Linked DNA regions of Pelodiscus sinensis. The protein of the gene in region 1 purifies or fractionates together with the protein of each later gene. This does not show direct contact. Links are inferred from orthologs where the notes say so. Each region holds a gene or a part of one and is shown on either strand. Other genes may lie near its edges.

What was found. The genes of interacting proteins can lie anywhere in the genome.
Region 2: the proteins of RC3H1 (region 1) and SERBP1 purify together in Homo sapiens (affinity purification with mass spectrometry, with the first as the bait; 3 studies listed by BioGRID). This does not show direct contact. The link is inferred for Pelodiscus sinensis from reciprocal best matches to the Homo sapiens genes RC3H1 and SERBP1.

The regions. Positions count from the first base shown.
Region 1 is NC_134719.1:62,190,751-62,198,013, reverse strand, and holds the start of RC3H1 (roquin-1), read right to left. Parts: upstream 4,255-7,263; 5' UTR 4,103-4,254; intron 1-4,102. UniProt on the Homo sapiens protein: Post-transcriptional repressor of mRNAs containing a conserved stem loop motif, called constitutive decay element (CDE), which is often located in the 3'-UTR, as in HMGXB3, ICOS, IER3, NFKBID, NFKBIZ, PPP1R10, TNF, TNFRSF4 and in many more mRNAs.
Region 2 is NC_134719.1:19,453,000-19,460,262, forward strand, and holds the start of SERBP1 (SERPINE1 mRNA-binding protein 1), read right to left. Parts: upstream 4,115-7,263; 5' UTR 4,007-4,114; coding exon 3,622-4,006; intron 1-3,621. UniProt on the Homo sapiens protein: Ribosome-binding protein that promotes ribosome hibernation, a process during which ribosomes are stabilized in an inactive state and preserved from proteasomal degradation.

The sequences.
Region 1 (7,263 bases):
AAAAAATCAAGATGTATGCATCTCCATTCAGGATTTGAACATATTTGTGTGACCAATGGCAAAGCTGAGGAAAAAATTTCTGGTTCAATACACTGTCCAGCAAACTCCAAGCAGCGCATGAGGCCTTGTGGGGCAAGGGAAAAACCACAAGGATTATATTCTTATTTCTCCCTCTTCTACTTTGTAGCTACTTGAACTCATTGTGCAATTGATTTCAGTGATGATCAGAAAGAAAGGTCAAGATTTAACAACAAGTTTGGTTAAACACGCAAGGGAGCTTTTGGGTGCTTACTACTTTTGGAAAATCAGGCCACATATTTGCGAGCCCAACTTTTAAGACTTAAATCTTTAAAAAATGAGTGCCTACTCTTCATAGCATTTGAAGCCCACATTTCCAAACTTTTCAAAGATTGTAAATAATCATTATAATACCACCTAATTCTTATGCTGTTTACTGATGGAGAGCGCTATAAAGAGTTTTACAAAAGTAGTAAGTATCATTATCTCCATTTTGCACTTAAGACATTTAAAGCATTGGCTTGCAGTCAGTTGTTTTCTAGATATCAGACATTACAATCATTTTGGAATTCATGTGGGAAAAGAAATATGATAATCAAGACAACATGCATGGCTGACAAACCACAAAAAATTCCCAGTTTTCTAAAGGCATGCAATGCAGCACACCTTTTTCGCAACAGTGAGTCATGAGATAATGAACCTTACCACCATTAATTTGTTAAACTAGCAATGCTTCTCTTGGGCACTCGTCCAGTATCATATACGTAGGATTTGATTTAAATCAGCCATTGTTAAACATCTATTTCACCTGACACAGAAATCAACAAAATAATATCTCTCTATAATAGTCAGCAAGTACAGCTTCCTCCACAGCCAATACCTGCAGGGATCTGGTGTCACCAGACTGATGGCCACAAAGGGCACACTCTGCAGCCCCACTGTCACCTCTGGCTCACTCATTCACAGCCAGATGTAAAGGAGCCACCCCCAAGCAAAAGTCATCCATCAGTGGAATGGCCTCCTCTATGGTTAGGAGCCCACCCTCCTCCTTAGGATGGACCACAGCCCAGCTGTCAGTGCAAACCTAACACGAACTCCCTTAATGTTCTGCAATGGTTAAAATGAAAAGATTCAAAATAGAAAGTGCTTAAAAACAAAATCAAACACAATTACAGAAACTAATATTCTGGCAAGTCTATGTCTATACCAAGTCCCAAACTAGTGACATTTTCAATCCTTGCCACCATTTTCAGATTCCTTCCAAATATTCAGATAAATAAGAAAGCAATTCATTCAAAATTTTGGACGTATCTATTTCCTGAATTCAGAACTACTATAGAGTTCCAGACTGCCAGCATTTGTGACAGTCTTTATCTAGATAGCTGGTAGGTCACAGGCAACATGAGTTCAAGCTTCTCCAAATGGTCTCAGCAACATTTGTTCAAAACTGCCATCTTTAAATAATTTATGTCTTCAGCGTTTAACTCTGTTAAGCCTTTCAGTTAGCAAGAGTGGTGCTGGTCAGTGTCATGCAGACACTTACGCTTTGGGAAGCAGGCTGAAGCCATCATTATGGTCAGGTCTACACTACAGATCTAAATCACTAACTACATTGCTCAGGAGTGCAAAACATCCATAGCTCTGAGTGACAGAATTAGAGAGACCTAACTCCCACGTAGACAGAGCTGTGTCCATGAGAGCTCTTCTCATACTGATGAGATGATGCTACACTGGTGCAGCTGCGCCAATTAGAGATGTAAGTGACTAGTCAACCACCCGATAAGCAAATGCTTATCGAGTAGGAACTCGATTAGTTGCTCCCCCCACTCTTGCTGCCTCTATCAGTGAGAGGCAGCAGGGAGGGGAAGGAAAGCACGTGCCCGTTCCGGGGGGAGCCAGCTTAAAAATGGTTCCCCACGCACCATCTCCACAGGGGGCAGGGGAGGCAGAGGGCATCCGGGAAACAGCCTGAGCAGGAATTGAAATAGTCCCATGTACAGTCTGACTGCTGATTCTCTCCCTTTGAAATATACAAGAGCTGCATCCAGCTCTTGTACACTTCAAAGGAAGAGGCACGGAAGGGAACCCTCACCAGCCGGGGACCTTTCCCTTTTAAATGTACATAAGCCGCTGTGGTTCTTGTACATTTCAAAGGGAGAGGCACAAAAAGATAAGAGAGCATCCCCCTTATTGACAAATCAAGTAGTCAGTGGAAATTCCATCGACTACTCAATTAGCTAATTAATCAAATTTAACATCCCTAACGCCAATGCAATATTTTACATGCAGATCTCCCCTTTGTTTCATGGAACAGACATCAGTTCAGACCAATGTCAAACCAAAAATATAGTATCTTGTTTTAAATTAAGTGTTTTTTGGTAGAAAAACCAAGCGATTTCCTCCTTGTCTCCATGATTGTTAATGCTGCTCAAAGGTGTTTTATGGACAGCCATGGAAATCAGAAACTATCAAACAAGTGCAAGTGTCCCTCAAAATAGCCAGCTTAAAGCATCTGCTCTGCAGGAGCCCTTTGCAGGGCAGGAATAATAGGCTGAAAATTTCAGGAAATTCCCTTTGGTGCACCCAGCTCTTATTAACTTTAATAGAAACTATATGTTCACCTCAATTATTGATGTAAACTACCACGTTTATGGATTGACAATTTTTATGCCAATTTCTCTATGTGACAAAGAAGTGGACCGCAGTCCTGCCAGCACTCAAGCATGTGCAAAAAGTGTATTCATGTGTGTGTGTGTGTGTGTCTCAATGAGGTCAGTGAAACAATTAAGTAGATACCAGTGAAAATATTAAGTAGTACATAAGAATGGGCAGGAGGGCCTAAAATAAAATAAATCGATGTCTGAAGAGGAGAAAAAAAGTTTAGTGGAAAAAGGTAATACTTCTACATACCACAGATACTAGGCATCACTATAGTATAAATGTAGAAATAATCCAACTGTCATTTTACAATACAGTGATCAAAGAGGAGTCACTAGAAGACTTAGTGGTGAAAAAGTAGCACTGTCATGGACAGGAGTGAACCAACTTTTTTAACATAAATTGCAAAAATGAGTTTAATAGTTTGGCCAATTTTCAGTTTATCAGAATACTGAAAGCTCCTTTCTAGTTGATAAAATGTCACCAATACAATTTTTCCATAATGAGAAACAACACAAGTTTTAAAACAACAGCTCAGGAGAAAGAAGTGTATGTGTGTGTGTGTGGGGGGGGGGGGGGGGGGCAGGAGAATGATTTAATGAAATACCATTTTACACAAGAAATATCAGTTTTCCTATCTGTGGGCTCTCAAAATGGCACAGATCTCACTCAATATGGCCCCTGAAGACAAAACATCATTTCTGGGTATTCCCCCCAACCAATACAGAAGGGTAGCTACTCAGAGCTCTGTTTCCTGGCAGGAAATCCTTGCCCCATCTTTTAACTCAGTGAGAAACAAAGACAAAAACACTTTCAAGTTCGGTCGCTCTTTTTAGGCTTCCACTTCCCCGATGCCTGTCAATGTCCAGGCCCGCACAGAAAACGCGGGGCAGCTCACCCTGAATGTCCCCTACAACTTTGAGAGGCGCCCAAACGGGGTGAGCCAGGGCCGGGGGGAGGCAGAGAGAGAGGGGGCCTGTGTGTGTCTATACAGGTCTGAAACAAAGCCTCCGACGTGTGCCACATCTGCTCTGCAAATCCACAGCGTGTGGAGGCGGAACCCCCTCGAGGGCAGGGACCCCAACTTCCCATCTGCTCGGCGAGGCTTGCCCCGCCTCATCAGCAGGAGCGGGGGATAGAGTCTCCCTCAGGCCTCACTCTCCCCCCCGAAGAGGCACCCGCTGCCCCCACCCCAAAGGGGCCCGAGCCCCTGGGACTCCCACCCCCTTCCCGAGGCCACGGAAGCCTCCCCCTTCCGGCGCCCCGCTCCACCGCGCCTCGGAGACGGGGCACTTCGGAAACGGAGCCTGAGGCCTAGCGAGGCAGGGACACAGGCCGGAGCGCCCCGAGCCAGCCCGCGGCCCCGCCGGGCCAGGCCCCCTCCGCCCCATTGTTCCCCGCCGCCGAGCGCGGGGCCCGGACTCACCGCACGGCTGAGCTCCCCGCAGCAGCGACTTTCAGCTCCGGGACGCGGGGCTGGCCGCAGCCTCCAGCGCCGGCAGCAGCAGGGGCCGCCCGGCCGCCGCCGCCTCCTCCCCACGACCCGCTGCTGCTGCCGCCTCTGCAGCAGGGGCCATCTTGTGCGTCTGCCGCCTCCCCCCCGGGACCGCTCCTCCCTCCCCGGCCCGGCCTCGAGCCTCTTCCCCTTTCTCCTGCCTCCTCTTCCTGCCGCGCCGGGGCAGGGGCGAGCGGAGTCCCTGGCGGGGGGAGCGACCCCGCTACTGGGCTCCCCCCTCAGCCGCCCTTCTGGAGCAAGCTCACTGCCGCCGCGTCCCCCCCGCAACAACAGCCAGGCCCTTTCTGAGAAGGGGACAAGCAGGTGAAACCGCCTGGCTCCTCCTCTTGCCACACTCCCACCCCCGTCTTTCCGAAGGGGGAGGGAGACGAATGGGTGCTCCCCCACAAAGCTTCCTCCCTCCCAAACGTCACCCACGTTTCTGGGCGAGGGGTGGAGAAAGATGAATGGCTCCCCCCTTTCCCTCGAAGGGAGCCTTCCATAATTGGAGGCATCAGCTGTTGGTGTTGCAAGGCCGGTGCATGCCAAGTGTCCCAGCTTCGGAGAGGCAAGTCCTTGGTTTCCTTAAGTTGTGACACTTTTCATACAGCTGTTACCATCGTTTAGAACAAAGGTAAGAGATTTCTGGGTCCTCCTGTCCCCACCCAAGGATTTGTCAAATGATACCTGGCACAGCAAGCCTGTGACTATTTGGGGATTTTAAACGACTTTCCAAGCATTAAGGAAGCCTCACTGCATTAATTAGTTAGTGTGTCCAGAGTTCAGGAGATTTAGAATGCTTAGTGAAAGCTAAATATTATTGTTAACACCTCTGTTTTACAGATGCATAAACTGAGATGCAGAGGTTGTCACTTGTTCAAGGTCATACTAGCCATAGAAACCAATAGTCCTGGCTGCCCAGTCTTGCGCTATAAATACTGGACCCCTGGTGTCCAACCAGTTCTGAAGCAGTAACCACTATAGTGACTACTGCTGTAGCAAACTAGCCACACTCAATATGCCAAATAGCCACATTATACAAGCCAAATAGCCGCTAGTGTGTTGGACACCACAGTAAACTAAACAAAACTGGGATTCAGTCCTGCAACTGGCTCTGTGTGATCAGACCCCAGTGCCCATATGAGTCCCGCTGCCTTCTCTGGGGTCTGCAAAGCGAGTGGAAGGATCAGTACCTTGTACTACTATATCGTTTCACTCTATCCTTTTGGAAGGTTAATTGACTCACAATGTATTTTTAAAAGGGGTTTAAAACAGATCTTTATCCCTCCCCTTCTACAAACTGCTTTCTTACACTGGTGCTTTAGAACTATTATTTATATTATACCACTCCAGGACCAGAACTCTATAGTGGCAGACTCATAAGAACATAAGAACGGCCGTACTGGGTCAGACCAAAGGTCCGTCTAGCCCAGCATCCTGCCTGCCAACAGTGGCCAGCACCAGGTGCCCCAGAGAGGGTGGACCGAAGACAATGATCAAGCGATTTGTCTCCTGCCATCCCTCTCCAGCCTCTGACAAACAGAGGCCAAGGACACCATTTTATCCCCTGCCTAATAGACTTTTATGGACCTAACCTCCATGAAATTATCTAGCTTCTCTTTAAACTCTATTATAGTCCTAGCCTTCACAGCCTCCTCTGGCAAGGAGTTCCACAGGTTGACTACACGCTGTGTGAAGAAGAACTTTCTTTTATTAGTTTTAAACCTGCTCCCCATTAATTTCATTTGGTGTCCTCTAGTTCTTCTATTTAGGGAGCTAATAAATAACTTTTCTTTATCGGCCCTCTCCCCACCACTCATGATTTTATATACCTCTATCATATCTCCCCTCAGTCTCTTCTTTTCTAAACTGAAAAGTCCCAGTCGCTTTAACCTCTCCTCATATGGGACCCGTTCCAAACCCCTAATCATTTTAGTTGCCCTTTTCTGAACCCTTTCCAAGGCCAAAATATCTCTGCATAAATAGAACAAAAAGCCATTTTTCCCTCTAAAGAGCTTACAGTCTAAATATAAGACAAAAGACACAGTTCAAGGAATGCTAATAATTAGGCTAGGAAAGATTAGTTTTCTTTAATTAGTAAATAACACTTTCAGAGACTCTGACAGAAATATTTCCATCAATAACATTCAGAATTTACAGATACTAGGTAAGGTAAGAAAATGTTGCTTGAGAGCTTAGCATTTCTTTCAAGGATAATTACATTGTATATTTTGACATGCATTGTTGAAAAATTGTTTTTAATGGTTATTAAGCTTTAACCTCACTGTCTACGGTCATTACATTATACGATCCCCTTATAATTTCTCACAATTATGAATTTAAAATGATGCAAGTTTTTTTTAAAAGCCATACTTTTTTGCAACTGTGAAAATGTACATCAATCAATCAGTTGTAAACAAAATGCCAAACCAACTCACAATGCAGCTTTTTCTTGTCAGTGTCAAATATGATCTGACTGGTCAGCTGCTGTCTGACTTCCGGGAAGGCACCCAGACCTATAAAGTATAGATAGCTATGGGTGCATATTGGTAATTGCCTGCAAGGCACTGCAAGAAGTAAAAATGCTCCTGCAGGGTCCTGAGTTAGTAGGGAGAAATGCAGAGAGGAGACTAGAGCGAGCATTTGGTCTTCTCTACAGGGCTGCCCCCCAAATAGTGTTTTCCCCCTGCTGACTCAAGGCACTGTAGATGCTTTTTTATTTGTTACATGCATATGCTGATACTTAAGTGCCTTTCCTTAAGACCAATTGGGTAGCAAGTAATCAGTCCAGGTGTACTGGATCCTGCATCCCTCATGCAATATTTAGTTTCTCTGAGCTGAATGGTTCTGAAGTGTTATACAGGTTGAACCTCTCTAATCAAACCATATCAAGTTATCAAAGAGAACAAAATATGATCCCAATCCTACTCACAGTTATGCATTTGTTTAACTTTAAGCGTGTTTGTATGTTTTCATAATCAGGGCCTACGTTCCTGCACTTCTCATAAAACAAAGCTCACAAAAGCAGAAGAGTGAAGCAGAAGAGTGAAGAGTTCTGCACACAATAACATCACAATGAAAGAAGTCAATAT
Region 2 (7,263 bases), about 43 Mb from region 1:
TTACAGGTATACGACTACTCGATAGTCCCCGAGGGGTGGGAGGAGGAGGGCAGCAGCCAGCACGCTCTTGGTCCCACATCCGGGGGACTCCCTGCCATCACACACTGCTGCCTCCATCAAAATTTAAAAACCAGCTCCCCTCATGGACCGGCTGCCTGTGGTCCCATGCTGCTACCTCTGAAACAGAGGCCTCAGTGTGTGGTAGCAGAAGCCCCTGTCAGGGGCTGGGGGAGGGAGGGAAGAGAGAAGGGGGAGGGGTTTCCAAGCTTCCTATTGACAGAGGCTGTTCCATGGGATGTGGAGCAGCCTGTCAATATGGACCTTAAACCCCCTCATGGACAGCAGCTGCTATCACAAAGCAGCCTCCACCTGTGACAGGCCCAGGTTCACCGTGGACAGAGACTGCTCAGGGAGATGCAGAGCACCTGCTGTTCACGTGGAGCTCGGGCCACACAGTCAGGGGCTGCTCTGAGGCAGCCTCCTCTTCCTTCCTCCCCTCACCCTCCGTGCTGCCTCTCAGAGGGGAGGGAGCAGGTGGCACTGTGGTGCCGGGGGGGAGAGCCAGCTTTCCTGACTCCTGTTTCCACCCCCCCTTGCTGCCTCTGATACAGAGGTATCAATGGGTGGGGGGAAATGCAAGTAGTCAATAATATTAACCAATAAACCCCAGCTTATTGGTTAATCGGATAGTTGGCTACTCATTGACATCCCTAATTAAACTAAAACAAAACATTTGTGTTCTACAGAAAATTAGGGATGCTCACACACCTGAGTGAATTTTCCCTTATTACAATGTGCAAAGTTTAAAACTTCACTTATCTTTATCATTCTAGTGAATGGACTTACCACTACTAGATTTCTACTACGAAACCCTGAAATACTAAGCTATTTCTTTCCATCTGGAAACTGTTCATTGGAACAAACGAACAAAAAAGCCCTTATGATAGTTATCTCAAAGGTCAAAATATTACTACTCTGTAGCTTTACTCAGAAGTATTACCCACAGTTAAAAGTGTATTTCATGCAGAAAGACAGAGAAAGTTTATGTTGTCTGGTTTTTCAAAAAAGCTATTAGATTAGTAATCATCAGTTGGTATATTCTGAACATGTTATTCCTCTGCTCAGGAAAAAAATCCAACTACAAACTTTGTTGTGCAAAATATTCATAGGTCCATTAAGATAATAAAAAATGTCTCAATTTCTCTTAAAGGCTTTACTTAGTACTTTGTTAAAGCGACCAATATTTGGTTAAACCTAGTCTTGCTCTTACCAAAAGTCCTCTTTCTCCCCCTCTCCCCAAAAAACACTGACATTATTGTTCTAACTATTGTTCATGCCTGTTAGAAGCTGAGAGTGGGTAGGGAGGGTAGCTATCACTTGATAATTGCCTGTTCTGCTGATTCCCTCTATGGCAGTGTTTCTCAACCAGTGGTATGAGTACCCTTAGGGGTACTCAAGAAAAGTCTGAGGAATACATCATTACAACTGAAATTTGGAGAAAACTAAATTTTTGTTTTAAGTTTTACAGCACTATTATTTTTGTACTTTTTACACCAAAAAAATTAATTGCTCACCTGGCTACATTTAAGTTGTTTAAACAAATGTGTTGCAATGGTAGAAAAAAATTGTGTGTCTGAAATCTCTAGGTACTGGGGTACTTAAAAAAAAGTTATAAGGAGGGTACTTTATAAAAAAAAAAAAAACCTTGACACACACTGCTGTAGGGCACCTGGCATTGGCCACTGTCAGAACAAAGAATACTGGGCTAGATGGATTTTTGTATGGCCATTCTTATTGCAGTGTACTTTCTCTCTCTAAAAGAAATGCAATGTATCGATCTTTAGTACTGTAATTATTTTAACTCTTCTTGTTAGCAATATTAAGAGTTTATTGTATTTTGGTTAAATTGTAATTCTTATTAGCTTGCTAAATAGTTCTTTATCCAAATATTACTGAGCACATTCAACACTCAAATTACATGACTATTACAAATTTAGGCCACAATCTTTCAGTCAGGCATGGGCTGAAGTTTGTGTACATAAATAACCCTTAATCACTGGCTTTCTAGGGAACCTCCCTGTGCCTCAGTTTTGCCATCTGTAACATAGGGATTATAATTATTTCCTTTCTAAAGTATTGTAAGAGCTAATGATGAAATGTGTCATCTGTCAATGAATGATAAATTAAGCAAGTGTTTTTGCAGGATCAAGCCATAGAAAAGTAAGTCAAAGACATTTGTTTGGTCACTTTTTTATACCTTCATTTGTTCATAAGAGAAATGAAACTTTATTACAGTCCATAAAAAGGTTTACCATATACACTCAAATAAGTGTAGCTTCAGTAATTACGCATCTGAAAAAACAATGTATTTTATTAATCACAATCCCAATTAATGTCATCCTTAGGGGGAAAAAACAATATTCCAGAATGAATATGAAAGGCTATAAATACTGAAAAGAATCCAGAATAAAACTGATAAATTTACTATTCAATGGACCACATCCTGGGAGATGCAATTTAAGCTTAATATCTGATAAATTCATATTTCCCAAGTGTTCTTTTACTCATGCTTCTCTTATCAGTTAGGTGAGTACCCCAATTCAACAATGAATCTTACAAGAACTGGGTCCAAACATAAAAAATTAAGACAACAGATGCACCACAAATTAAAAAATACCATTTTGAGTCTCTCACCCAGTGGAAGGTGGCAGCACTTAACGAAGTTAAGGGTTGGGGATAGACAACATACTGAAAACGCACATGGCTCAGGTATAACTAGTTCAGCTTTGCTAAACACACACAGGCGACTACTCTGCTTTTTAAAAAAGTGATGCAACTCCCCTTGGAAAAACAGACTCGACTGATAATTTTTCATCCCAACACTTTAAGGGCGCCAGCCCTTCTCGAGGGCTGCCACTCCACCCAGACCTTCGTCCTTAACAGGGTCATCCAGCCATCAAATGTCTTTTTGTACAATTCACCGGGGCCAAAAGTATTGGGTAATATAAAAGCATTAGCAGGCCTCACTCTTCTTCCTAACCCCAGATAGCTGGGTCACCCAGAGCCCCTCTACCCACCTCCAGCAACTAAAATTATTAGAACAGCTTCCATCCGTCCCGCACCCCCACTTAGATGCAGCCCTTCCTTCGCAATAGCCATGTGCGACAGACAGGCCTCACTTCCCCCCACGTGGTAGATGCAGCGGCCCCAGAGCGCGACTATTTCACCCCACCACCCGCAGGGCCAGGTGTTGTCTCTGCGGGGCTCGAGCAGGTGCTGAGACTCTTAGAAACTCCGCAGTTCAGCCTCCGCGGCCAGACCGTGTGTGTGGGGGGGTGAGGGGCTGTCACAGCCCGCGGACGGCAGCTTCTCCCTCGAGGGACGCGCAGCCCGTGGCGCACCCCAGCAGGCCCGAGGGGGTTAAGGACTCTCTGCAGGTTGCTCACTTGAGCCCCCACATCAGGGGTCACAGCCGCCCTCCCCGAGAGGAATAGGCGGGGCTCGAACTCAAGATTCTCCCGCGCCCCGCACCAGGGCCGGGCGCGCTACCGCATGTCTCGTGCCCCACGCTCCGGCGTATTAGCCGCGGGGTCCCCGCCGCCGCCCGCTGACCCCACTCACCTTCCTTCCTGAGCGGCGCGGCGGGCTGCCCGCTGCCCTCCTCCCTGCGGTCGCCGGCGCCCCCGGCCGAGGCGGCGAAGGGGGGCAGCGGGTTCTTGCGCTCTTTCTGCGACTCCCTGCGCAGCTGCTTGGCTGCGCTACTGTTGCCGCCGCCTCCCCCAGTCTGGCCCGGGCCCCCGCTGCCGACCCCGCCAGAGGAGTTAGCCTGGGCCGCCTGCCCGCTGCGGGCCCCGCCGCCGCCCCCCTGGCTGCCGCCGCCGCCGCTCTCCTTCCTCCGGCTCTCGGCCGCCCGCAGCACCTCGAAAGGGTCCGACTCGTCGTCAAAGAGCTGGTCGAACCGGTTGGTGACGACGCAGCCGAACCCTTCTTGCAGGTGTCCGGGCATGATGGGCCCCTCTCGGCGGGATCCTCCTCCGATGCTGCCCAGGCCCCAGCCCCCTGCTCGCGACACCACACAAGATGGCCGGCCCCAAAGAGACCCGCTTCTCTTCCGGCGCCAGGAACAGCCGGGCTTTGCCGCGCGCAAAGCATCGCGGGAGCAGGAGGCCGCCTCCAAGCCACGGGAGCCCCGCGCGGCTGGAGGGGCGGGACTACGATTCCCAGCAGGCCACGCGGCCGAGCGCCGTGTTGGGCCGGAGGAGAACGCGCGCTGGTGTGTGGCGCGAGGAGACCACTGCGGGCGGGGGGAGGGAGCCGAGAGAATGTGAACCAGCCACCTGTCTCGAGTAGGCCTAGTTCCCCCTCCCCCAGGGCACGGCTGCCGTGGCTCCCTAGGCGGGCCCCCACGTGGCCAGGCTGGCCGCCCTCCCGCGCACAGCAGCGGGGCAGGAGGTTGTTGCGGGGGAAACAAGGCCCCGCACGAGCCCAGCCCTTCTGCTGCTGCAGCCCGGGCTGGCGTTGTTCGAAGTGCCCATCACTTTTAAAGGACGTTCCCAGCCGCTGTGTCCGGCCTCAGCAACCCCGTCTAGTCATGCATAGGGCAGCCCGGGCACTCGTACGTTTTATCAGCCGGGGTTTGCTACAGCCAGCTCCCGTCTACCCTGGAAGGGACACTGTCCTCGCCCTGCCTGTATCTAGACCACATGGATCTAGTGATTTCTCTCTCCCCCCCCAACGTATTTTGTTACATTGTAACAAGTAAGATTAATGATTGAGGGGTGGGGTGGAAGGTGGTGTGTTTTACTATGGGCATGATCTGAAAGCATCTGTGGGATAGTTTCAGGGTCTGTTTTCCTCCTGGCTGACGTATGAAAAACACTGAAAAACCCCAGGAAGATCTAACTTTAAAGCCATTTATTTAAATTGATAAATTGTCTTAATTTTACTTTACAGTTTATGCTTTTAGAAATTGTCCAGATATCTCTGCATGGACAATGAATCAGTTTTAATACTTTAGATGTTAATAAAAAGGCTCCACTCCTCTAATGCGCTTTGCACCTATATAAACCCCTACTTAAACTGTGCAACTGTTTGCTCATATGGCTTTGTCTGAAATGCAGATTACATATTTTATGTAGCACGTCTATTAATGATATGGTCTGAGCTATGTTGTTCACTATACCCACCATACTGTGGGTGAAGATACGAAGATCACTGTGATGGCTGCTATCAAACCAGGGATTTCCAGAGCTGAAAGAACCAGTCCTGGCAGCTTGAGCTGTAGATGAGGACTATAACATTGTGTGGGAGTCAGGCCTTTCATAATACATTACACTAGCCATAATCAAAATGTAACCCACTGATCAGTGGGTATCAGAATCAGCTGTTGAAATGGAAAAAATTTATGAATACAAAAATCTACCTTAGAGGGTAACATCAGGGTTGGCAAATCTACAACTAAAACATTTTTGCAAGTTATACCACATTTTAATATATAAAAAGCAGAGTTGCTTGAAAGCTATTGAATATCAAATGCTCTAAAACAAAAAACACAGACTGGCTATGTCTAGACTGGCATGATTTTCCGTTAAAAGCATTTGCGGAAAAGAGTGTCTAGATTGGCACAGACGCTTTTCTGCAAAGACGCTTTTTGCAGAAAAGCATCCATGTGAATCTAGATGCTCTTTTGCGCAAAAAAGCCCTGATTGCCATTTTCACGATCGGGGCTTTTTTGCGCAAAACAAATCTGAGCTGTCTACACTGGTCCTTTTGTGCAAAAGGACTTTTGCCTGAACGGGAGCAGCATGGTATTTCCGCAAGAAGCACTGATTTCTTACATGAGATCGTCAGTGTTCTTGTGGAAATTCAAGCGGCCAGTGTAGACAGCTGGCAAGTTTTTTCGCAAAAGCAATTGCTTTTGCGGAAAAACTTGCCAGTCTAGACACTGCCACTTAATATTAGCATTGCTTAGTCATTGGTGCTTCAGTAATAAACAAGCAATAAACAAAATCCAAATAGTTGTTGAACCTTTCAGTTCCTCATACTGAAGTGAGATTTAAAAAAATAATAATAATAATAATATCCATGTCTGCTACCTACCCAAAGGACCTCATCACAAGCCCAGTATGTACCTTCAGATAAGGGGTCAGTAGACACACATTGCATGAGGATTCCACTGCAAGTCTAGAATCACTTCTGAAATATTCTGCAAGTATCCTTTCAAGGACATTTAATCCTACTTTTAAAAGGAGACAAACTTTTGTAGGGATTATATAAAGGATTACTCAATTTGACCACCCTATATTTACAATTTTCATGTATTTCCTTATAATTACCTGTGTACCAAAACGTTATAAGATTATGTTGACAATCGCAAGGCAAGAAGCACAGAACTATGAGTGACCATATTTTTATATGTTCAGATACTTTTATATGGTATTTTAAAAATCTAATATATTGTCTGGATTCATAGCTATAAGTCTGAAATCGCTTAATTTATTTTTATTTAAGTTCCTAGCACAAATCCTTCAACACATAGCATGCAACCAGAAGTGGTCCTATGTGAGAAAATGTCATTGTAGCGCTCATATCCTTTACTGTTCAAATGCATTTACAAACAGAAATAACCGATTAGCAAATGTCAGGACTTTCATGTATAAAAGAGGAGGAAACAAATGTAGTGTGCTGTGTACTGAATTTAAGATGTCAATTGTCAAATCAAATAGATAACAATAAGAGGAGTCTTATATCATGACGAATATTATTTAGTCATAGTCCCAAAAGTAAGGCAGAAGATCATCTACATGTGAAATGCTGGGTGAATATTTGAATTCCCCCATCACACAAACTCAATTAAAGGGTAAACATGTTCCAGCAAAGTCACTAAAGAAATGTATACCACCCAGGCTGTACAAGATGTATTAACATTGAAATTGATGGACTGGATCAGATCCAAAGTACATCTTGGCTATATCTACACAGCAGTGTATGTCTACACTGACGTTATTCTGAAATAAAGGGTGCGTTTACACAGCAAGCCATTATTTAGAAATAATGGTGAGCTGGAGGACTTCTTACTCCAACTCTTGTAACCCTTACTCCTTCTGTGTCTAGGCTAGCCAAGGTTTTCCCGGAAAATCAGCTGCTTTTCCGGAAAAACTTGCCAGCTGTCTACACTGGCCGCTTGAATTTCCACAAAAGCACTGACTTCCTATTGTAAGAAATCAGTGCTTCTTGCGGAAATACTATTCTGCTCCCGTTCAG